Drosophila melanogaster: one gene and its partners. The protein of the gene in region 1 interacts with the protein of each later gene in a pairwise test. Each region holds a gene or a part of one and is shown on either strand. Other genes may lie near its edges.

Region 1 (4,996 bases):
TTTCTATCTAAACCAGTCTGATGCCCCTCTTGTTCGGGATGCATATAGATGGTGTGTCCCGCTCCCGTCGCATTGTAGGCGTCATTTTCGGTGATACGCTTTGTGGAAGTATCAGGAGTTATTTCGGTATCGTCAATGAGTATGTTTATATCAATGGGCACGAGCATGTAGGTTTCTCCAGTACTTTCATCGGTTTGAATTTGGCTTAACTGCTCGTAGTCCTCGTCTGAAATGCAATCCAAATTTATTACATGGTCAGATTTCCAGCGAGCAATTTCCTTGGCGTCTGCGCGTTGAAACTTATCCGATTCCGAAGATCCAGTAGCTACTCCATTTGAGGTAATCTTAAATTTGTATAATAGCGGTTCTTTGAGCTGGACAAAAGCCTCTGGCTTACCAGCCTCCACATAAACTTGCACTTTATCCAGTGCATTGGCTATGAAATCATCGTTTGATAGCTCATTCCGCTCCTGCTGGCTTTCGTCCTCTATTTCCTGTGCCAGCAACTGCTGAAGCTTGATCATTTGCTCCTTGGTCAGATTGAGATCCTTTAGACTCATCGTTGCCCTGTACGGATTTAGGGATAATATATATTAGTAATGTACACAAAAAAAATATGATGATATTCGGAGTGATAATAATAAGATTGCGATAATGACTAGAAAATAAAGATCACTAGATATGGAAGCTGTGTATAAAAGTTTAGTTATCATAATTTCCTTTTGATTTTATAAAGATACTGTATGTCTTGGTTGCCCAAAATTACCAAAAACCCTATTGTATCTCATTAAGTATATAATATTTAAGAATTTTTGGCGAACATACATGTCAAACTAGTTTGCCAGTGCACTGGTTTCAAGATATGAATTGCTCTTCTGGGCTTCTATTCTATTGTTTGGAGAACGTACTTAAATTCAATTATTGTTTAAACACATCGAGAGACTTACCATCGTAATCTGAGACAAACAGTTGCTGATTGCCCTGAGGGCAGGGGTACAATTAAACAGCCTTGTCCGCACATTACCGCTCACGTTTTATGGCTGCCGTTTAAAAATATTGAAAAAAGCAGGGCAGGCACGAAATTGAAATGCCTGCCAGCGGGCGCAGCTTTATTGGCACCCGTCGACCAGGAGCCGGGGCATTATCCTGCAGATGGCTGCGGTCACTGGACATTAGGCGCTGGAGGACAACCGGTGTCCGTCGACAAGGCCAGGATCATGGCAGAACGGATACGGGCATTGTACATGAGATGGCGTCATTAAATACACATTACCCTGCCGGCGCAGGACGAACTCAGGAGCAGGAGCAGGAGTAGGCGACGGTGGAGTGGAGGCAGTCCGGCGATAAAGGCACAACAACCGCCGAGCAACAGTCGGCCAGCAGGAGAATGGCTATTAAAAAGCAGCCCGGGCCGAAGATAGACATGGTCGGCTACAGTGGCAGACATAACAAATTACACCATTTCGACAGGCGGTTCACAACAGGAAGGCAGTGCTGTTGAAATAGACTTTCCTTAGCTATTAGCTAAGAATATCAAGGATATTATGTATAGAGATTAGAAGCCAAATATATTTGTAAGACATTTACCATATCCATAAAACTGAATTTTAACAAAATAATTATAATATTCTCACGTTTCTTTATTTGCTCTAAAAATTCTGATTATGTCTTTAACAATTATTGATCAATTTTAATAAGACAATCGATCCTTGCATTCAGCTAGATAACCAAAGCTTTCTTCATTTTATATATACTCGAGATTCCCTTTGAAATAGCTATTTATTCTTATCTGCAATCGCCAGCACTGGATTGACACTATGGCCGGTGGTTCGATGGTTGGTGTTCAGTTTCAATTGTGCTGGCAAACGTGACTCCAAATTGGCTGCCGGCGAATAATTCATACGAAACACTTTCGCACCGTGCGCCTTGCCATTAGCATCGTACCACTGCCCCCACCGTCGGATGACCACCCACCTCCCACCACCCACTGGCACCCAAAGCGCCCACTTCGAACCACAGGGTAGCCCATGCCATGCCCCACGTAACCCCACGATTGCATTTACAGCAAATTATTTATGGCTGCGACAGACACGGAACAGGAAGCGAGTATGCGCTGCCAACTTCACGTCCATCAATATTTTATGAAACCCTGTCTGCAGAACGCTCCGCGCTGCTCTCAGCCGCCGGAATGGATGGGTTGGAGTCCTCGGAACAGGACGAGGGTATCTGCTTACATGGCTGCCTTGTGCCTTCTGCCGGCTGCCTGGCTGTCGATATCCGGTAGATGAGTATCTAAATTGCCTTTACTGTTGATGAATTAGCGCCGGCTGCCTGCCGCTCCCATTTGTGTGGAATGGGTGGCATTGCAAGTGCCTGCGTGGCGCAGATAAGCTTCCACGATGGGTGCAAATTTCAATTTGTTCTCGATGATTTTGCGCTCATCAAATAGGCCGGCAATCTAGGAAGACGGGAACACGACCTTGTTCGAAAGGATATGAAGTGAGAACAGAGCTACAACAGCAGGGGATTGGCAATTCACCAAACGGATGCACCTAAAATTACTCCATCATTCCTGTTGGAATAATACACATTAAAAATGAGTAGTAGAAAATGACTTATCAATCCTTGAGTTAAACATCAGTAACTGTTGCAGTATTTTTAAATTACCAGTTACGTCCATTATGTTACTCTCCCGCAAGGAAATCGTATCGTTATTGCTATTCCTCACGGCGGTTAGTTGCACCTGACTGCCATCTAATATCTGACCTTGTGACTCACCCCAGTCATCTGCTCCGCAGATCATTTCCGTGCTGAACGCGTCGGTGTTTGGGAACGTCCTGCCCCTCCACGTCAGTTATGAGCAGCTGGGCCATCAAGTGGTCTGCGTGGGAACTGCCTACATTTGCCTGATTTACGCCATGAGCACCTGGTTATACCACTCGAATTATTCCAGGACCCGTCTGCACATGCGATTGGTGGTGGGTGGTCGGCCAAATGGAGGTGAAGTCTAATTTCGAACATTTAAATATCCCATTTTTGCAGCTGGTGGCCATGATTTTGATTATGATACTGTTTAACTGCGCTTCTACCTACTACTTCCTAACCGGCGTTTCATTTTCAAAGCTAGGAGATTCCATGGAACTAATTTTCCTCTTTAGCAGCTTTGCAATGGCCTCCAAATCGGTCAGTTTGAGCATGTCGGCCATCAGCGTGGTGATCCTGATCGTGATCATGGTGTTACTCATTGTGACAATCATTCAGTCCCATAGAAGACACAAACGGGACAGAATGCGTTACCTCGAGTCGCAAAAGCAATAAACTCATCCTCATTCCCGTGGGAGTGCACATTAAGTTTGGTTTTTATGCAACGCCAAACATTTCATGTCGCTGCAATGTGGCGCCGTAGCTGCAATAATATAAATATTGCACTCGTACCTCGTTTGGCACAGACAGACACGAACTGCTCACCTCCTTTATTTTTTCACTCATGACACACCGATTCTGTGTGTGTGCTTTCTTCGCAGGTGATATGAAAAACATATACGAGTGTAAGAGAATCTCTGTTATTGTTTATCCAAGTCGCAGTGGGCATGCCCTGCCTTGAGAATAATTATACAATATATTTTTGTAATTCTATGTAATAAATGTTAGTTAATAGGGTTGAAGTTTGAAATTTTCTTTCTTTCCAAGATTTTTACTCATTCTGGGTCTTAATAATTTGGCATTACATACATTTTCGGTACCTTTTTTTCTCGATTATGAAAATGCCATCAGTGTATGCAGTGTATGTGTGAGTGCTTGGGCACCATCAGGGCCCAAAAAAATACCATTCTGGCCAGGATAAGTCTGAACAGTGCAACTCATAAGGGAGACAAGCAGCCTCTTCACATCGGCTTGTGTACCATTGCATTTTGCATAATGAAGCCGGCAGACAGTGCACTTTCGAGCATCAGACAAACGAAGTTAGGTACGAACTTAAAGGCTTGCCAAGCTGGAAAAGTTAAAGTTAGCTTTTTGGCACAAGTAGTGAGAAGGGGTTGGTAATTTGGGTAGGGGTTTTTAGGAGCGTTGTAGTAGCCTAATTACGCTCCAATGGCTGCCCATCAAAAGTGACAGTTGGCAAGGCAGGGGCTTACAATAAAATTTCAAGTTAAGTTATTGCCGCGCCGCTGGCGAGAGCTACGCGAATACTCAGTTGAAAGTAATTCCAAATTTAATTGCGCACAATTTAGAATGGCGAGATGTTGGCGTGCGTTTAATTAACTGAAAAATAACATAAAAAGCAAAACGAAAACAAAGCCCAATGACAGCCGCGGCGCCAGTGGAAATGCTTAATGTTAAATGCCAACTAATTAAATTTCGGGCATGCCAACGAAGTTGACTGGAGTTGAACTGCCGAATTTATTGTTGCATTTAATGGCCAGCGCAGGCGGTTATCCTTGTGCCATCGCTCGGCTTTACCACTTTTTATTGCGTATACGCTGGGGCACCCCCATTACGTATACGCAGTGTATTACGCCCCTCCACTCACAGCAGGCAAATGGACAGGCTAAAGGATTCGCTTTGTGGACAGGGATATAGGATGCCAAATGACGCAGAACCACTGGCATTGCGATTGTAATTCCGATTGGGCAAACGTCAGTTTCTCTGCGGTCCGTCGCCAAATGAAGCCAATAAAATGTCCTTGTTCGCACGCAAACGTGCGAAAGTGATTCATGTAAACTGATAAAAATTTAATCATATTTCACGTATTAACACGTAATTATTAATGCCTGATAAATGTCGGCAGTTGTGTAATATGTGAAAAAGTCGCTATTAATATGCATTATTTTCCGCTAGTTGTTATTTCACTGGGTAAGTAAAAAGCGCACGGTGTGTCCACAAGCTTCGGAAATACTTTGCTACGCATTACCATATAATTATAGTACTTTAAAAATATTTTATAGATGGTCTTAAAAACTTAAATTTCATTATATTTTACCACGCAACACTCCCG
Region 2 (6,772 bases), 4.8 Mb from region 1:
TATTAAATCGATTTCTTTCGCATTTCCGTTTACCCCAGAGGCGACGCTTTTGTAGAATAAGTGTGATCCCCAAACCAATACGAAAACGACCCGACCCCTACCTTCGATTCCGATCAAGACCCTCTAACCGAACCCGAATCCGATGTAGATGTGGAACAAGTGCAGCTATCCCGCCGCCATAATGGAAGACAAAGATACGACCCGAAGCAAGCCCAAAGAGAATTAAGCCATACGAGGAATAGCACCCAAAAGAACTAAACTAATTTCGTAATTTACGCATAGTTACATTAAGCCAATTACTCGAAACTGCATGAAAATCAAATCAAAAGATGACTAACCATATTTATAAATACAACCATATATAAATATACATAAACATTATTGTACAAATAGGATCGAAGATGTACCGAGAGCTATGGTTAGATATGGAAATAAAAATCAAACGACAATTCATGCTCTCAACCTAGTTATTTACGAGTACAAGTTTGTCTCTTCAATTATAATTTGAATTCATCTAAAGAATATACCATACAAGCCCGATATACATCTATACATTATACGGATATTTATAGCATATACCTGCGTCACTTGTTGTAACTTTTAGGATAATTGCAAGTCAAAGCAAAAGTAAACCAATTACAAAAGGAAACATTACTAACTCTTACCTGCATGCAATAAAGAATTTCAAAATGCAAAACTGAATAGTGTACTTTCTGGGTTAGGGATATATTAAGCATAACTGATTTTCTTACAGTCACTGTTCGTAATTTCATCTAAGAAGGAAGACAATGCTGGAAAAGGAATTCGGGAACGGTATTTAGTAAAAAAAAAAGCAGTCAGAACGCATACCAAACTTACAGACACCTAAGGCCTCACAGTATAGGGAAACAACTCTCAAAATCGTCCCATGGCACTTCATTTGGCAACAAAGTGATAGCCAAAGTGGTAGCGGTCGCTGTCCTGATCTTTATCCGATGTATGAAGAGCCTTGGAATGTGCAAAACAAATCGCTGTGGGCCCACCTTGGCATTAAAAGAAGCTGCCTAAGTCACTAATAAGGCTGCTTATATCTGTTACCTTGACCGCGATCAGAGATCATTGGCCCAAATCGGCAATCTGCAACTTATCACTGTCCCGTTTCATGACGCAACGCGTGTTTTCGGAGCTGTCCCGCCCGTGTAAAAGGTTTTTCGCACACTTGGCAGCGGTGCAGGCGTTCGCCGGTATGGATCCGCTCGTGAATCTTGAGGACTCCCAGTTGGGCGAAACGTTTGTCACGATGCTGGCAGGCGTAGGGTCTTTCGCCAGTGTTTGTGCGGAGATGCAGCTCGAGCATGTAGACCCTGGAGAAACTGCGCTGATAGACGTTGCAAAGATGCGGACGTTCCTCCGTGTGCCTGTTAACTATGTGGCGTCGCTGATTCTACAAAACCACGCCCGCAGTGCAGGCACTTGTGCTGCAAGACCTGCTTATGGCGCCTCTGATGAACCTCCAATGCTCCATTGGTCCTGAAGGCCTTGGCGCACTGATCGCAGGTGAAGGGCCATTCGTCGGTGTGCAGGCGAATGTGGCTTGCCAGACTAGAGGCGGATTGAAGGCACTTACCGCACTCCAGGCACTTGTGCCCACGTTTGGGTGTCTTGGCATAGGAGCAATTGTGGACCTGGTAGCAACCCAATTTCGTAAAGATCCGCCTGCGCTCCCTACAGTCTATAATAGTTATTGAAGCATGTACTTCTTGGATGTGCCGACGCAGTACTTCCGATAGCTGGAAACCAGCGCCACAATGCTGGCAGTTCCAGCGTGAAACTCCAATAGGTTCATTTTCGGGATCCTCCACAGCGGAGAGCTGTTCAATATAGTCGCTGGGATCAATAATAATTATTTCCTCCGAAGCTAGGGGTTCTGCCGTGTCTATGTTTATCTCCGGAGCCATATCGCGCAACTTCTCCGACTCCACGCATATTTTGCGAAACTTGGCGGCGATGAGAAGCTCGTTGGTGCACTCCTGGCATAAATACATTGGCTGCAAGGTACACAGGTCCACTTGCATCTCCTCCACGATCTCATAGATATCCACCAGAAGTTCATCCTGTTTAAGACAAACTCGGCAACGGAATTCACCAGATGGTGGCGACATTTTCAGTTAAAAGCTTGCAAATATTTAAAAATTGAACTGCCAAATCAAATGCAGCTACCCACAATTATCGATAAGACCGATAAGCAACAAACAGCTGATTATACTAAACTACACTTTAAAGTATGTCTCATATATTAAGAGCTAACTACTTCCAAACTATAAGATAATAATTAATTATGAATATAAATATATGAATATATTTAATACTAACAGCCAACAAATATTTGTCAGTTTAACGTGTTATAAATAAATAAGTGGGAAAACGGCATTTCATTACTAATGTGCACTTCTAAGTTCCGTTAATCGGATTTCCGTATCTGGTAACACCGTGGGGCTTCAGCTGTATCATTGGAGAACTAACGCTGAAAAACTCTTCCTTTTCGATCGGAAATAAAGTGTGACAACATGCTAGCACAAAAGTCAGTTGCCGGTGCTGATGAAGTAAGAACCAACTTTTAAAAAAGTAGCCGAACACCAAAATATTGTTTTGTAATTCAGCTTGCGCAAGCCAAAGGAAAATGCGTCCATTGCGCAAACGCAGCGGAAAGGGTCTGTCAGCGCTGCGGGGACTTTTACTGCTCCAAGCATTGTCAGCGGCAAGATTGGCTACGTCATCGTTACATCTGCATCCCGCTGCCCGCGTTGGTTTCTCCCAATGAATATTCCGTGTTCCAGAGCGACAGGGAATCAACTTTGGAGGGGGCCTGTTCGTTAAACGCTGACAAATCTGTAGTTGAGGCGTCGCCAATACCCCTCAGCCGTTCACCTATTCTTCCGGATTTGCAGTGCAATAACGCCGGCCGTTCCAGCATCATTGCAGCCAAAGATGATATTCCCGTTTCTCCGCCAAAAGCGATCATCCCGCCCAGCGGTGCTATGGTATACATTACGGACTTCATATCCAGTAATCGTTGCTATATTCGCGATGCCAGCGAATCTGCTGAAAGAGCGTTTGACGAAGTTTGCAAGAAGGTTTGTTATATATGGAGTCAAATTTCTTCAATCCAAGAAAATTCCTAAATTAGAAGTAAAATGCGTGCATGATAGCAAATTCTATAAATGAATATTATCAAAGAAATAGTGTTGCGTGTAAAACTGTATACTATTTGGATACTTAAATACTAGCAAATCGAGTTTTTTTTTCTAATTCTACTGTTGACGAGACTATTTCGAATTAAAAAGTGTTGTATCTTCACAGGTTAATACCATAGCTACGTTATTGCCCAGAATAAAAAATCCACCACCAAATAGATTGTGCCTAGTCCACTTTAATGGCATGTATGTGCGAGCGAAGATGTGTAAGAAGCTCCGTGAGGTTTCCCACTTATTTTTGGTCGATCTTGGAATCAAACATTCTGGACCTTTTTTCGATTTTAAGGATATCAATGATGAGTTAAAAGCATTGCCCTGTTCCAGCCAACTGGTGCAGCTCAAGAATGTATTGAATTGTGACTATTCCAATGATGTCATTGCCTTCAACTCGAAATTCGTGGGCAAGAAATATATGGCAACCATTAAAAAGTGCCCTGGATTACACCTCGTGGAACTAGTAAACACGGAGATGAACTTTTCGGTAAATGAACAGTTAAACGCATTTTTCAACAGTAAGAAGTTGCTACGAAACCCTAATTCTGCGGCCGAGAATATCAAGTCATGTTCCTTAGAAGGTCCGCAACCTTCACATATTGATCAACCCATTGCAATTCCTGCAATCGAATGTAAGAAAATGTTAACGAAACCAGAGGTACAGAATGAGTGTGAGGAGATACTCAAGCAACAGAACTCCGGACAAATTGATCAATCAAAATCAACTAATGTACTGGTTACAGAAGGAGCCTCTAATAAGATGCTTGGCTTTATTGATCTTGCTGATAAGGCAACTAAAACTGATCAGGACACTGCACCAAAGCCTAAAGATGAAGACGTAAAACATTCCTTAACACAATGCTTAACACCAAAAGCTAATTATCCGTTACAACTTCCAAACCATAAAAAAAATTTGGAACTTCCCGTTATCCATAAAACTAATGCCCAAACAAATGGAATCGTAATGTCGAAAAACGAACATGTCCTAAAACCTGTGAGTTGATAATATAAATTCTCATTGAGAGCCACATTTTATTAATTTATTTATTAGCCTTTTGAGATGCGTAGATTTTCAATCGAATCTAAGGAAGGCATTGATCTCATCGTTGTGGATAGTACAAAAAAAAATCGAGGTATTTTTGGGGCCTTTGACAGCACCTACGCCTCCGAATTTTCCGCCTTGCACTCTCGTTTATCAGAAATTACAGACTGCGAGCCTTATAAGCCAGTGTAACTATACTATAACCATACCAATGTAAGTTTATATTTAATTAACATTTTTGACAGTGTCAGGGAATATGTGCTTGCCAGATTTGAGGGTTCCTGGTATCGTGGCAAAGTGGAACAGATTATAGTTGTTCCACGGCAGCAGACAAAGTACCGGGTAATGTACCTCGATTACACGAATGTAGAGGACATAACCGAAATGGATATCCGTCGCTATCCATTAGACTTCACCGCTCCCTGTGCCACAAACCTTTGCGTGATTGACGGTATGGATATTAAACATTTGTCTTGAGCATAACATTTGAACAAACACTTTATAGAATTCCCGCACAACCCGAATGCAGCACAGGTTTCCTATCTGGCTGAGGTTTTGAAGGTCCATCAGTCAGTTCATATTGATAGTATCAAATATATCAACCATATAGCCGTAATTAAATCGGGAAGTCTTATTCAGAAGCTGTTGAGCTTGTAAATTTTAAGTGCATCAAATGCCATTTACTTGACACCACAACTAAATCGGGTCAAACACATTACGAAGTTATTGCGAATAAGCATTACGTTTTATAATTTTAAAAACATTTATATATAAATAAAATTCCATTAAATAACAACGTTAAAGGCTTTTAATACACAATGTTATGTTCCCTAGCTATTGATGCCGTTGATTCTCGATTTAAAATTTAAGTTACACACAACCGGATTACAACAGACGGAAAGGACATGCACAAGAGGTTTTAGTTTGTTTGGTTTTAGTTTCTCAAATGTTAAAAATGGTAGTGAAAGCGGGTCTACAACGACAAAGGCACTGTTTGGTGTGGATCTGAGACTCGCTCCAAGGCATTAGGTGTTCTTTTTCATTGTCATCTCGTGGGCGGTGCGCAGACGTCGTCTGAGTTCGTTTGGAAATCGGTCATAGCACTTTTTGCACACCGGCTTCTCGTCGTACTCGTAGAATTTCGATTTTTGTGTCATCTTCGTGTCGCACACGGAGCACGCAAAGTGGTGCACACACCAGGCCTTGTTCAAGGCAGTGAAAACTGTTGGCATTATGGAATGAGCGCATTAAATAAACCCAGAATATAGTTCAATTAAGTTACTCACCATCGCCTCCAATAACCTGGTTGCAGACGAAGCACAGGTTGCCAAAGAGCTGATGATAGTGCGTCTCGCAGTAGGCCAATCCCCGCTTCTCGTAGTGTCGGTGACCCAAGAAGGGTTTCTCGCACTTGGCGCACACGAAATGTTCCACATGCCAGTGCTTTCCGAGCGCCGTTACCACCCTCTCCTCAATCGGACGACGACAGGCACCACATATGGGAATGCCCATTTTATCGTGACAACGCAGACAATACAGTTCGTTCTATAATGGAATAATAATTCAGTTGCTTCTTATTTGCTAAAGAAAAAAAAACCCACCATATCGTTAGCAGCCAATCCTGGCCGGCTCTTGACCTCCCGAGCAGTGGAATCCAACTCTGTGCCGCAGGCCGTGCAACTGAAGTGATAGCCGTGGTACACTTCGCCCCGGAATCGCAAAGGCTCCTCGTCGATGAGGCCGCTGAAAAGCAGAGTAATTAGCAACATGTTTTCACCTAAAGCCTTTGAAACCTACTGGCATTTTTGGCATACATAGCGGCCGGTAATCTCCGCCTTCACCTTGGCATTGCACTCGTGACACAAGGCGCGGTTCTGGTTCTTGATGAATCCGCAATCAGCCAGCTCCTTGGCGCACAATTGGCAGCGGAAGCACTGTGGATGCCAGCTAGCTGACATGGCCTTGATGACCCGTCCGATGACGAACTCGCCGCACTTGTTGCAGCAGGGAGCGAAGAGCACGTGAAAGTCGCGTTCACAGTACTTACGGCCCTCGAACTCGTAGAATATCCCATCCTGGAAGGGTCGGAAGCACTGGGCACATCTAGAAAATGTTTATTAGTGAGGGTATTAGTGAAACAACTACATTGAGGTTTACTTACACGAAGCACTGGGTGTGCCAGAGTTCTCCATTGGAGTTAACAATCTTCTCAGTCGGCTCGAAGCCGTCGGCACATCGCGTACAATGCATGGCACCCAGCGACATGTTCGCTGCCTGGACTCTGTGAATTAAGAAGAAGATCAGGATCAGTTGTTGGTAAGTAACTAACCAATTCAGAGGCCATTACACTTCAGCCTTAGAGTACATCATGGTTATAGCTTGAGCGCAAAGAAAAACGACTTTAGGGCAGGGCGTGAAATGAGAAACTGGACAAAACAATGAGACTTATCGCTTGCCGGCTCTGTTGACGATGTCTGAATCATATTTCCTTCGAATGCACAGC
Region 3 (6,003 bases), 2.4 Mb from region 1:
CTCCTCGGTCGTGAATCCTTCGGCTCCAGCCAAGCTGCCAGTCATCGCAGCATCAAGGGTAGACACTTGGAAAAGTCGAAGTGCTTCGTTCACGTGCTCATCTGTGGCGAACGGTTGCAAACGAATCTTTGCCAGCGACTCCGAAATGCGGATGACAGCCTCCAACTGACGCACAGTGATGGGAATGCTTAGCCGCTTGTCAGATGCCTTCTCCTGCTGGCCGGCTCCACTGCGCATAAGCACGTAGCGGCTCTTTAGCTTCTCGCCGGCAGCTTCGCTCAGGCGCGGACCGCAATGAGTTCGGCAGTAGTGAATATACTTCTTGAACGTCGACAGCGATATCTCACCCTCAGCCGGCTCTGAAGGCGCTGACTTGTTAGAGCTCAGATGCACGTTGATGATGTGCTTGGCCAGCGTAATGTCCCGCGACTCATCGTGAATATCCTTTACAATGAAAATCATGTCGAAACGGGAGAGAATTGTGGGCATAAAGTCAATGTTCTCCTCGCCCTTGGTGTCGTCCCATCGACCGAAAATGGAGTTGGCAGCTGCCAAGACCGAACAGCGTGAGTTCAAGGTGGTCGTGATGCCGGCTTTGGCAATGGATATTGTCTGCTGTTCCATGGCCTCGTGAATGGCCACACGATCATCCTCTCGCATTTTGTCGAACTCATCAATACAAACCACGCCTCCATCGGCCAGCACCATGGCTCCACCCTCCATGACAAAGTTACGCTAAAGATTAATGTATCATTTAATTTGTAAGGATTAGGTGTGCAATGTTTTTTCTCACCGTTTGAGGATCCTTCATAACCGAAGCCGTGAGACCAGCCGCACTGGAGCCTTTGCCCGAAGTGTAGACTGCTATGGGTGCCACCTTCTCCACAAACTTTAACAACTGTGACTTGGCAGTACCAGGATCTCCCAGCAGTAAGACGTTAATGTCGCCTCGACGGCACAGACCATCCGGTAAACGCTTACGAGACCCGCCAAAAAGCATACAAGTTATAGCTTTCTTGATATCCCGAGAGCCGAAGATGCTGGGCGCCAGTGACTGTGAGAGACGTTCGTAGATGTCCCCAGAGGCGGCCATTCGCCGGAAGTGCTCCTCCTCATCGGATGTGATGTTGCTGTATCGGGAGATGGCACCCGCACCCTCTGAGTCGACGGTGATGCCCACCACCCTCATGTAAGGAGCACGGACTCCAACGACGGCTTTCTCGCGACCATCCCGACGCGAGGGTTTGCCCACCTTGCGAATGGAGTATATGCCCTGGATAAGCACGCGATTGCCGGGCACCACGCGTTCACAGAGCGAGCGATCGCAGAAGAGCTGCAAGTGGCGGGGAATCTCACCCTGTGGCACAAAGTCGGGGAGCTCTTGCAACTTAAGGGTCTGGAAATCGACGCACTTGCACTTGTCCGGCATGATGAAGAAGGGGTCCAGCGGGCACTTGGGTCTGCCCGCCTGCTCCGTGTTGCACTTCCTGGGTAGGGCGTAGCCCTCCAAACCTGGATTCACTTTGAGATTCGGTATGACCGTGCTGCAGGACAGGCATTGGATAGACATCCGCGTAGCCTTGGCACTTATTCCTGAGGCTGCGACAATGATTCCGGCGATCTTAACCAGCTTGGATACGCAGTCCGACTTCAACTGTCGTATGTTGGTGGGATTCGCATTGGAGCTCAGAAGAATCTGGATGTCGTGCATATGTTCCTCGTGCTCCGGCCGGGGAGCTGTGATCTCGTCGGCTACCTCCCGGGCAGCCTCCTCGAAGATTTCCAAATGCTCCGTCGGCTGCTTGTTCAGCTTGTCAGCCAAGGTCTCATCGAAGCCCACCAAATCCTCCATCTCAATCTCCAAGAAGTAGCGACCATTAAGATAGTTCCTCTTCAGGGTGTCACTGCAGGGGGATTACCTTAAATGGGGTTCAGATGAGGAGATGCAGTTCACTTACCGGTATTTGTAGAAAAAGTTCTCCTCGTTAAATGTCCGGATGAACTCCTTGTACTTCTTCTTTACCGCCTGCAAGTTGATTTGCGCATCCTGCTGGTTATCTCCGCCGAAATTGTCCGAAAAGAACACACCCGCATCGTCGAAGCCTTCCATTTTGATAGGGTAAACAAAGTTAAAAAGAAGAACTGAGGTAATAGACGCTACTTCTGCTTCGCTTTATATTTCGTTTTTTAGTAAATGCGATGTGCGAATATTTTGCCGCCAAAATTACCGGGCAAGCGGTAGCTAGAGATGAGCACTTACCAGTAAAACTATCGGATCTTATTTACAACTATCGATGAAACGTGTTTCCCAGTTTATGTATTTTTGTTAGCAGTGAAATAGGACCAATACAACAAGCATTGCAGCAGTTAATAAACCATGAACGTATTTATTATATCTTATTGATGTTATGACAAAGATTATTTTACTCGATTATATGGAACATGCCTTAGACAACTGACTCCAATTCTTCCCAGCTCAAAAATACTAAAATTTCAGAAAAATCCAATAATATCGAGCTGGCGATATTTGTTTCCAGCTTTTGTGCGGGGGCAGTGTTGATAAGCGACCTTTTAAACTAGCGTGCTGTAGAAACAGTCCCATCATTTAGTCGCCAATTTTTCGACGTGAAAAACCAAAGAGACGCCGAAGAAATTAGAAAATGGTAAGTTTTGGTCAAAATGTGACGGCAATCGACAGGCCAGTAGCTGACGAACCCGATTCGCAGGCCAGCACAGACATTCCCATGGAGGCAGCTGTGGAATCGGCGACCGGCATCACGCCCAATTCAAATGCGAACTCAAACAATGTGGCGAAGAAGCTGCCCGCGGAGGGCTCCACCGGTGATAATCCCAATGCCAACGCCGACGAGATGACGTCCCGCGACTATTACTTTGACTCCTATGCCCATTTCGGGATCCACGAGGAGATGCTCAAGGACGAAGTGCGCACCGTCACATACCGCAACGCCATGTACCACAACAAGCATCTGTTTCAGGGCAAGGTAGGGTTAACTTCCGGGGTTTCCCCATTTTTCGTAGCCCTTCTCACCGGGGTATCTCCTCTTTGCAGACCGTACTGGACGTGGGTTGCGGTACCGGCATTCTCTCCATGTTCGCTGCCAAAGCCGGTGCTGCTCAGGTGATTGCCGTCGACTGCTCCAACATCATTGAGTTTGCCCGCCAAGTGGTCATTGACAACAATCTGCAGGATGTAATCACGGTTGTCAAGGGCAAGATTGAGGAGATTGAGCTTCCAAATGGTATTGAGGGAGTGGACATTATTATTTCCGAGTGGATGGGGTAGGTTTTCATTTGTAGTTAAGCTTTTAAAAAGTGGTCATATTTGATTTAGCATATTAACCATTTTAATTTCTTTCCTTAATTTAGTTACTGCCTGTTCTACGAATCCATGCTGGATACAGTGTTGTACGCTCGGGACAAGTGGCTGAAGAAGGACGGCATGATGTTCCCAGATAGGGGCACGCTGTATATCACGGCCATCGAGGACAGACAGTACAAGGACGAGAAGATCAACTGGTGGGACGATGTCTACGGCTTCGACATGAGCTGCATTCGTAAGGTGGCCGTGACCGAGCCACTGGTCGACGTGGTCGATCCCAAGCAAGTGGTATCCACATCTTGCATGGTCAAGGAGGTGGATCTGTATACCGTGCAAAAGGCCGATCTTAACTTCTCGTCCAAGTTCAGCCTATGCATCAAGCGCAACGACTTCGTGCAGGCATTAGTCACCTACTTTAATATAGAGTTCACCAAGTGCCACAAGCGTCTTGGGTTCAGTACGTCACCAGACTCCACATACACGCATTGGAAGCAAACCGTGTTCTACCTCGATGACCACATGACGGCAAAGAAGAACGAGGAGATCACTGGCACGTTCCAGATGAAGCCCAACGAGCGGAACAACCGTGACCTGGACTTCGTCATCGACATTAATTTCAAGGGCGAATTGTCTCAAATTCAGGAGTCGAACACATACCGCATGCGCTAGGGGCAGCCATAACCAATCCGATCTGCCATTTGGGATGGGGCTCAGAGCCCTGCAGCGAGGATACATACAATGACTAGACGTAAGGTTTATTCCAGTGCGAAATGTGCAACGAATTCGTGTTGCGTCTTCTCCTAAGTTTAAAGTGTACCTTTGTTAGTATACATAATATTTTACACTCGTGCGCCTGTTTAAATTATTATTCGAACATACTTCTAAGCAAGTTGTACAGCAGCACGTCAATTCTCACATAATAAACAGTGCACTAAGCACGTCCCCTTTTGCTGGAAACAAACTGTTTTTGATGATATATGAAACCAATCAAAACTCGCTGATTGTGCGTCTTTATTTTTTAGTAAAAAAAAAAAAGGAATTTCAAGAATGCATCGAAAGATTTATATTGTCATCTGAAGTAAATTTACTTGGATCGCAATCGACATAGGAATTCCTACAGAAAATACGGCCTTGGCCGGCTTGTTCTTTGATGCGACACTGCTTAAACGATATCCTTTTGGAAACATTAATGACGATCCCGAGAATCCGAGCGACTTCGACGATCGCGCGAGAAGCTGCGGCTGCGGGGCGATCGGGAGCGACGTGGCGAACGTGACCTGAAATAAACGCATTGGTAAAGAAGAAATGATTACTTAAAAGCTTAATAAAATTATTTAAATCAGCTTAGAATGGTAAGAAGTGTATGTACATACGCGCCTTACAAAGAGCTGCAAAATAGGAGTGTTAAATACTGCTAAATAGTTACTTAAACTAATTACCAGGGGGAACAAAAATGAAAGCTGTGCAAACTGTTTTGTTTCTATGAATTAAGCTGTGAACCAATTAAGATAAGAGTATTATTGCTAATGCTGCTATTACATTTAGCTGCTGCAATTACATTTACTATCTATTACCAACTGATATCCTATAATTAGAGTTTAAAGCTTTCTACTTTGTCGGATACATATGCAATAAGAAAATGGTCGAACAAATCTATAGTAGCTGTGATCATCAGCGTTAAACGCGTTCAAGGCCAGTTTTCTCGACATCAGAGTCAAGTACTTGAGAAAGCGGACGAACCCTCATATCATAGGCAACTAAATTAAAGAAATAATTGTAAGCAATTATTTGAAGGATACGCAGGATAACTTTAAAAAAGAACTCTTTGGGCGACTGCATTGCTTCTTCTAGGATGAAATCATTTGGGTTGCTAATCAAAACTTCTGTGAGGCTGTGACGCTGAACATGGTTAATTTAGAGTTGCAAGTTGAAGGTTGCTGGCTGTGGCTGTGAAGATGGTTGCTGTTGTAGATTGTTGATGTTGTAGAAGGAAGAAGTAGCAGTGGAAGTAGTTCTAGCCGAAGGAGTTATCCTGAAAAAGTGTCGATAACTCGAATTTAACAACCACTAAATGATTGGATCGTAGATAATATATGTATACAGTTTGTAAGTTTGGTCTAAATAAAGTACCAAGTCAATTTTTAATTAGAAATGTTATGAATAGCGATGTGATGTCAGTTGGACATGAATAAAACAGCCTGCGAAGAAGTACTCATAAAACTGACATTTCGAAGGCTGTTCTATCACGTGCAGAAAAAGGCGGGAAAATGTACATGTTTGCTATTCGCAATTAATGTTTTTTGCGACGATTCCAATGAAATTTCGATAACAAATTTTATACGTTTTGATAAGGATTGATTAATTTTGACGGTTACAGGCAAGACCGCCATCATATGCTTAGAAACCTGAAGAAAGTACCCAATTTTTGGAGTCAAGTGATCCATTGTTCCATTTGGGAGACACATTGAGCCAAGTAACATGAGAAGTACAGTTTTTTTGTCGTGGAATTACCTGTAGCGTCCGGAACCAGAGCGACCACTACTGCCGCCTTCTCCGCGCCGGCGATCGCGCGAGCGACCCGAAGACATCTCTACGCGAATCCTAGTGCCGCAGCAGCGTGTTCCGTCCAGGGCACGCGTTGCGTCTTCCGCGTCACGGCGATC

What was found.
Region 2: the proteins of CG14380 (region 1) and Veneno interact in a two-hybrid assay, tested with the Drosophila melanogaster proteins (one large-scale study listed by BioGRID).
Region 3: the proteins of CG14380 (region 1) and Art1 interact in a two-hybrid assay, tested with the Drosophila melanogaster proteins (one large-scale study listed by BioGRID).

What each region holds. Positions count from the first base shown.
Region 1 is NT_033777.3:13,185,909-13,190,904, forward strand, and holds CG14380 (uncharacterized protein), read left to right. Parts: upstream 1-2,610; 5' UTR 2,611-2,681; coding exon 2,682-2,732; intron 2,733-2,798; coding exon 2,799-2,978; intron 2,979-3,042; coding exon 3,043-3,318; 3' UTR 3,319-3,660; downstream 3,661-4,996. Other genes in the region: CG8508 (uncharacterized protein), read right to left, coding at 1-560.
Region 2 is NT_033777.3:8,358,249-8,365,020, reverse strand, and holds Veneno (veneno), read left to right. Parts: upstream 1-2,466; 5' UTR 2,467-2,546; coding exon 2,547-2,582; intron 2,583-2,639; coding exon 2,640-3,113; intron 3,114-3,339; coding exon 3,340-4,221; intron 4,222-4,278; coding exon 4,279-4,457; intron 4,458-4,514; coding exon 4,515-4,720; intron 4,721-4,774; coding exon 4,775-4,926; 3' UTR 4,927-5,063; downstream 5,064-6,772. Other genes in the region: stck (steamer duck), read right to left, coding at 5,295-5,491, 5,556-5,814, 5,871-6,012, 6,067-6,372, 6,431-6,550, 6,617-6,639.
Region 3 is NT_033777.3:10,784,772-10,790,774, reverse strand, and holds Art1 (arginine methyltransferase 1), read left to right. Parts: upstream 1-2,548; 5' UTR 2,549-2,660; coding exon 2,661-2,663; intron 2,664-2,726; coding exon 2,727-3,002; intron 3,003-3,070; coding exon 3,071-3,300; intron 3,301-3,387; coding exon 3,388-4,009; 3' UTR 4,010-4,294; downstream 4,295-6,003. Other genes in the region: Mcm5 (minichromosome maintenance 5), read right to left, coding at 1-735, 794-1,904, 1,959-2,110; Rbp1 (RNA-binding protein 1), read right to left, coding at 5,255-5,372, 5,852-6,003.